Linked DNA regions of Coturnix japonica. The protein of the gene in region 1 interacts with the protein of each later gene in a pairwise test. Links are inferred from orthologs where the notes say so. Each region holds a gene or a part of one and is shown in the gene's direction. Other genes may lie near its edges.

Evidence for each region.
Region 2: the proteins of CNKSR1 (region 1) and CYTH3 interact in binary tests that used the Homo sapiens proteins (3 or more experiments, as listed by UniProt). The two-hybrid records come from large-scale screens. The link is inferred for Coturnix japonica from reciprocal best matches to the Homo sapiens genes CNKSR1 and CYTH3.

What each region holds. Positions count from the first base shown.
Region 1 is NC_029538.1:257,102-261,150, reverse strand, and holds the end of CNKSR1 (connector enhancer of kinase suppressor of ras 1), read left to right. Parts: intron 1-75; coding exon 76-195; intron 196-309; coding exon 310-389; intron 390-714; coding exon 715-827; intron 828-903; coding exon 904-1,049; intron 1,050-1,204; coding exon 1,205-1,235; intron 1,236-1,327; coding exon 1,328-1,500; intron 1,501-1,580; coding exon 1,581-1,654; intron 1,655-1,756; coding exon 1,757-1,828; intron 1,829-1,909; coding exon 1,910-1,983; intron 1,984-2,138; coding exon 2,139-2,203; intron 2,204-2,277; coding exon 2,278-2,380; intron 2,381-2,655; coding exon 2,656-2,837; intron 2,838-2,913; coding exon 2,914-3,114; 3' UTR 3,115-3,400; downstream 3,401-4,049. Other genes in the region: CEP85 (centrosomal protein of 85 kDa), read left to right, coding at 3,780-3,892. UniProt on the Homo sapiens protein: May function as an adapter protein or regulator of Ras signaling pathways.
Region 2 is NC_029529.1:8,526,433-8,529,347, forward strand, and holds part of CYTH3 (cytohesin-3), read left to right. Parts: intron 1-156; coding exon 157-233; intron 234-312; coding exon 313-384; intron 385-512; coding exon 513-667; intron 668-1,563; coding exon 1,564-1,636; 3' UTR 1,637-2,915. UniProt on the Homo sapiens protein: Promotes guanine-nucleotide exchange on ARF1 and ARF6. Promotes the activation of ARF factors through replacement of GDP with GTP. Plays a role in the epithelial polarization.

The sequences.
Region 1 (4,049 bases):
AAACAGAGAGGATGTGGGGACCAGGAGGGCACATGGGGCCAAGCTGTGACCCTACTCACCTGGTGCCCTTGGCAGGTGGGTTGGACACGCATCAACCTGGTGAAAAAGCTGCTGGAGAAGGCGAGTGGAGTGTCACTTGTGCTGAAGAAGGTGCCCCTCAGCCTGCCTGGCTGCCCCCTGCCCACCAGGCTGCAGGTGAGCATTCCCAGTGATCCCAGTGCCGGACTGGGCTGTGCTGGGAGACAGCCCTATGGGAGGTCATCCCAAAATGCGACAATGCAAGGTGAAGCACTGAGTCTCCATTCACAGGTGCCAGGTGCCCATCTGGATGGTGTGGATCTCCCCAAAAGCAGCAAGTGCCCGAGCAGCCCCTCGTCCCCTGCATCCAGGTGAGCCCCAACCTCGCGTCCCTTCGCCACAGTGCAGAGCCTTTGTGCGAGCAGCCCAGGCAGCTGCCAGGAGTCTTAAGCAACAATATAAACAAAGAGAAGTGCCTCTGTTTGTAATTAATTCACTTGGTAACATTTTAATGGGGAGGGAACTATATTTAGAAATGACCCTTCTCCTCGCCCGGAATGGAAAGAAGCACATCGAGCCGTTGGCTCCGTGGGCTGAGCTCACTGCTGCCGGGAGCTTTTCCGGGCGGGAGCAGTACTGGGAGCCCCACAGCCGGGCAGGGGGCACTGTGTGGCTCAGGGGACCCTTCTCCCCCAGCACCACTGCCGACGTGGACTCAGGGCCGGACCCCACCGCTGACAAGGACAAGCACAGCACAAGCCAGAACAGGGAGGACGTGGGTGAGCTCCAGCCAGCAGCACTCAGCCTCGGTATGGAGTAGGCTGAGGGGAAGGATTCATTTCTCCCCCAAGGACAGGACGCTGCAGCCTTGCTCACTGTTTACAGGTACTGGGGAGGACGCAGTGCAGGAGGCCAGCACCCCACCAGGCACCCCAAGCTCACTGTGTGCCTTCCAACCCTGCACTGCAGAGTGCAGCCCCACAGCAGCCCCCAGGGCACAAAGTGCAGAGCCCAGCCAGACCCCCAGGGAGGTGAGAACTGGTGGGAGCATGGAGCTTTGCGGGGTATTCATGGGGGACACGAGGATCGTGTTTAGGGGCAGCTTGCTGCTGAAGGGTGGGCGAGGTGGGGGTCCCACGAGGCTGTGGGTGCTGCATTGCTTCACATTGCATCTGTCCCCATCCAGGGCAGCCCTGAGACGGGACGCAGACCCAAAGGTGAGTGGGACGCCACTGTCCCCAGGCTGGGGTGAGGTGGGCTGGGGGCTCGTCCCCCTGCCCCGCTCCTGAAGCCCCCCAAAATGCTGCAGGAGTGGCGACCAGGCTGAGCCGCCGGCGGGTCTCATGCCGGGACCTGGGCCGAGTGGATTGCGATGGCTGGCTCCTGAAGAAGAAGGACCATGTGGGCTTCATGGCCCAGAAGTGGAAGCGCTGCTGGTTTGTGTTGAAGGGCCACACGCTCTACTGGTACAACCACCCCAACGTAAGTGAAGATGCCCTCGCACCCTGCCACCAGGCTCTGCTCCAAGGCGGGCAGTGGACGTGGCTGTGTGTCCCCCACAGGATGACAAGGCTGCAGGTCTCATCAATGTGGCCACTTACAACCTGGAGAGCACAAGGGAGCAGAAGAAGAAATAGTGAGTGGGCACTGTGGTGCTGGCAGGGACCCTGCAGAGCAGCGGGTGCTGTGACATGGGGGAGGCAGGACACGGACTCAGGACAGCTTGTGTTCCTTGCAGTGTCTTCCAGCTCTCCCATGATAAGTACAAGCCCTTTGTCTTTGCTGCAGAAACGCTGGCAGATTTGAGCATGTGAGTGATGTAGCAGCCTGTAGTGGTCCTGCTGCAGTGGGCTGGCTGTGACCCTCTGTCTGTCTGGCCTTTTTTCCCTAGGTGGGTCAGCCACCTGATTACAGCTAAGACAAAGCATGCACTGGCCCACCAGCCTGTCCCGCACAGGGAGGAAGGTAACATGGAGGAAGGAGATGGGGAACGGTTGGGAGAATTGGGAATTTTGCCCATGATATGGGGAAAGTGTGAGAAATGGACAGGAGGTGCATGGGGGGGGTGCTGCTGGGACTGCCCCAGGATCTCTGCTTCCATCCTCCCCCATGGCCTCCAGATTGCTACAGCGAGACAGAAGCTGAGGACCCTGATGACGAATCTCCCCGGCACGGCTGTGAATTGGTGAGTGGCCCTAAGGGACATCCCAGGGTGGGAAGGCAGTTCCTTATCTCATCTCCATCCCATCTCTCATCCAGCCAAATAAAAGGCTGCAGAATGCTCCAGAGAAAGGCCAGCTCTTCCAGACTGGTGGTGAATCCAGCAGCCCACAGAGCAGCCCTCAGCCCCATTCACCTGCAGGTAGGTGCTGGTAGGCACGAGGGACTCTGTGTCCTGTGCTAAGAGGAGCACGTCGCCTGTCATCCTGGGTGCATCCTTTAACCAAATTCACAGCTGCCCTCTTTTGAAGCACAGAGGCTAATCCTTGTCTTTGCAGCACTAAGGGGCTGCGTTTCAGTGTTTCTGCCCATGTTGATCTCTGGCCCAAACTCCCCTTTGTATGTGGGTTGTAGGTGGGGGTGTCCCAGTGGGGTTTCAGGGTTGCCTGATGTCATGGCATCCATCTCCATGCTCAGAGCCTGGCGAGGAGGACCTTGAGAGCCTGATGTGGTGCCTGAGGCAGGGCGGGGTGTCCCTCATCGGACGGCAGCGCTTCCTGACGCAGGAGCAGTGCCGCAAGTCCTTCATCCGGCGCAACAAGAACCCCTGCATCAACGAGAAGGTGCACGCGGTGCGGGCCCTGCAGAGCACGCTCAAGGTGGGAACCCACGGCCCTTTCCCAGCCCCTCCTCCTGCCCCAAAACACCCCTGTAATGTGTTCTTCCTCTCTGCAGGCGAAGCTGGCGGAGCTGCAGGCCATCGAGCAGCTGCTGGATGATGCCGCGCTGACCTCTGAGAAATTCCAGCGCTGGAAAGAAGAGCACCAGGACCTGTACCAGGAGCTGCAGGAGTGGTGGGCACAGCAGCAGGGCCAGGACAGCAGCGGGGGACACGAGGCTGAGCAGAGATCCCCAGCAGAGGCAGCTGAGCCCTGACACCCCCCAGAGCCTCCCCAGGAGTCATTTCTCATTGAACTTACAGCAAAGCGGGTGCTCTGCCTGTCCTGGATCGGTGCGGGGGGGGGTTGGTGACACTGCAAAAGGCTCAGCCCCCACAGCGGCTTCTGCTGGATCACCCACAAGGGTGGGACACTGCAGGGACAGCCCTGCTTTTATCTGAGGATGCTTTACATTGAGGACAGGGCTTTGTCCTGGCGGTGTCTGCACCGTGCCTGCAGCCAGCAGCAATTCTGCTGCAAATAAACCGCTGACAGCTGTGCCACGTGCAATGTCCTGCTGTGACATCCAGCCCCACGTACCACCTGGGGAGCGGAGGAGCTGCCAGAGCCTTCCAGCACCGCCCAGCACCAGCACGGCAGGAGCACAAACAGAGCGGAGGGGGCAGGAGGGAGGTGTCGTGGTGGCCTGCAGCTCTCACAGGGGCAGCGAGGAGCTCTGCTCTCTCTGCTCTCTGCTCTCTCTGCTGACGGCCATAAGGCCCAGCAGAGCTTCCAACGCTCGAACCACCGCGGGACACCCGAGCGCGCTGCCGGCACTGCGCACGCGCAACAAAACAACATCCCCGCCCCGCGGCGGCGGCTGCCGGCACTGAACACCGCGGGGAGCCAGCTTTCCGTCCAGCCAATCGGCGCGAGCCGGGGATGGAACCGCTTCTTCCGATTGGCTGCGGGAGAGCGGTGGGGCGGGGCGTCCTGCTGGCTCCGCCCCCCGCCCGGAGTTGTAACGGTCGGGGCGCGCGGGCAGCGCGGGGCAGGTGAGCGGGTTGTACCACACGGTGCGGGTCTGTCACGGCGCGGTGCGCTCGGCTTCCTCCCCTACTGCTCCCCTCTTTGCGGGTCCCTTCCACCTTCTTTTCCCCCATCCTGGGCAGTTGCCCCCACCCGTCTCCCCGCAGGGCCCGGTCAGTGGGA
Region 2 (2,915 bases), on another chromosome or scaffold:
TTTCTAACCTCAGCTCATCTGTGCCTGATCCATTTGCAATTAAGTGATTAAGATACATACTGGAAAAACAAAGAAAACAAAACAAAATGACTTTCTTATCCCTTGCTGAAGCCTTGACAGCGACGTGTTGAACTTATCAATATCTTTTGGTTATAGGGGGAAGAGTAAAAACATGGAAACGAAGGTGGTTTATTTTGACTGATAACTGCCTGTATTACTTTGAATACACAACTGTGAGTATGTGCTGCTGTGAGCTTCCTTTGTCATCTGGGTATGGAAAGGAATAATAACGCTGTACTTTCCCTTTTTTAGGACAAAGAACCTAGAGGGATTATTCCATTAGAAAACCTAAGCATTAGAGAAGTTGAAGACCCAAGAAAGCCAGTAAGATTTCCTTGTTATCGTTTTGTAATGAACTAGTAAATCATTTTGGAACTGGGATTGTGGCAGATGATTTTGTTTCTCAGCTGTTTGTTTTGCTTTGTGTTTAACCTATTTTTCCTACCTTCCAGAACTGCTTTGAGCTCTACAACCCCAGTCACAAAGGCCAAGTGATTAAAGCCTGTAAAACTGAAGCTGATGGCAGAGTGGTGGAAGGCAACCATGTAGTGTACAGAATATCTGCTCCCACCCCAGAAGAAAAAGAAGAGTGGATTAAGTCTATCAAGTGAGTTTTGAGTATAAAATATCTGTCAGAAATGAAGTGTAGGCTCCTTTTCTGCATTGTAACTTGTTTGAAGAGCTCTGATTCGGCAGCATCCTCTGGGATTAAGGACAAGGTCTCTGGGGCAGATGGTCGGGCTGTGTGGTCCTGAGGTCCATAGCAGGTCCTGACTCAAATGAGGAAAATGTTTGTTTTTTAACTTATTATTAGAAGCAAATGCAAAGCCTTTGGAGAACCATCCTTAATCCCAATTTTAGTCCGTTCTTATTTTGTTTGGTGACAGCTATCTTGAGCTTGTTCATCATTCACAATGTGAATTCCTTTGTAAGGTTTATGTAGTAGACCCAAACTTAAAGGAATGAATTTTGTTCAAGTTATGTTTGAGATGGAAGTGTGAGCTCTAACAAATCATAGCTAAACATCCTCTTATAAACCAATATTTTTGATGATCAGAAGAGTTCTTTTCACTGGGAGCAGAGTGCAGCGCTGAGCTCTGCTGTGCGGGCACAGTGACAGGGCCCAGTGATTGACATGGAGCTGTCGGGGGGGGGCTGGATGAGGGTCAGGGGAAGGCGCTGCACCAGAGGGTGGTGGGCATGGACCGGGCTGACCAGGCTGCTGCTCACAGCTCCGTGCTGTCATAGCTCACACTGTGCTTGGGCACCACTCCCAGACACAGGGTTTGGATTTCAGGTGGTCCCAGGTAGAACTGAGAGTTGGACTCAGTCAGTGATCCTTGTGGGTCCCTTCCAACGTGAGCTATTCTGTGACTGTAGGTCAGCAATCTTTAACTTATTAGAAGTGTGGAGTCATCCAAAGGGAAGTGAGAACAAAATAGTTTGAGTTTTCAAAGGCAGAGAACAGTTCATCAAACTGACAACTCACGTTGTTTCTTCTAGAGCAAGTATCAGCAGGGATCCCTTTTATGATATGCTGGCAACAAGGAAACGAAGAATTGCAAACAAGAAATAGGACTTGATCAGTAGCGTGTGTATCTGCATCGACTTCTACATGGGCTACGATGGAGAGATAATGTAAATGTTGGGCAAACTAAAGACAGTAACTGTAAAATTATATATATATATAAATGCATATATATATATACATATACACACACACTTTACTATGACATAAAATCTCAGCAAGACCTTTTGGAGAAGTTATTAGTGTGTAATTTGAAGTAAGCTTCAAATCCCAGAGGATAATTTTCTTGGAACTTAATGCAATTGAAGACACGGAAGCTTTGTTTCCACTTGTGTTAGTTGTAACTACAGTTGGCTTGGACTGGGAAGGAAAGAACAGTAAAATATCCCATACCTGTTTCTTGAGCTCATTGCCCATAAATGGAAAAGTGTTTTAAGTGCTTTTCTCTCAGTTAAATGCAACACTAAAAACTGGACTAGAGGGCAGCCGTGCACATTTCCATAGGCAGGAGACTTGCAGTGTCAGTTTTCAAGTCTTATGTGTCTTGCAGTAAATGAAGCCTTCATTTAGAGCGTGTGCTCCACCTTCTGTATTAACAGCTTTTCTTCTTTGGAAGTGCAGCTTGGTGTCAGGCAGCTACAGCAGTCACAAGTGCCAAAGGGTTGGAGTGAATGCACTGAAACACAGACAGGTCCCAGCAGCACAGGCCTGTCTGCAGCCATGACACTGCGCAGAGTGGTCTGGCATTTGCTAGAAGGCAAAAACTCTTTACAGTCTGCTCACACAATAAGCAGTGAGAGTTAATGACTGACTTAATCTGTTTTTATATAGTTGCATCCTTCCTATGTTTTATATATATTGTAGTTTAACACTATTAGGATTAAAGGAATAAGGTGACAGAGCTTGCGTGAGTTGCAAGGGTTCAGGCTTTGCATGTGAAAACACCCTGAAATCATAATTTCACGTGCACTTCATGATTTTAAGGGAGAAAAACCAGGAAAACGTAATCTTTCTGCAAGATCCAGCCCTAGGGAGGTGAGCAGGCAGCACTGATCCATTTCTTTGCTTGATAACAAACTTGGAACATACAGAAAATGTGGGTATTTTCATTGCATTCTTAGAAGACAGATTTTTCCTTCTACTTCAGTAGCTGAAGTTGAAAATGAGTAGATATCCTTATTTGTACCTGAAGAACATAACCTTACTGTCAGTTACCTCCTGCCATGAGCCCCTGCACGGTTTCTTGTTAACTTATGGAAGATTGTCACAGCACTTTCCTGTTGGCAGCGCACAGAACATTCTTCATTGCACAGTGAGGACACAAAGT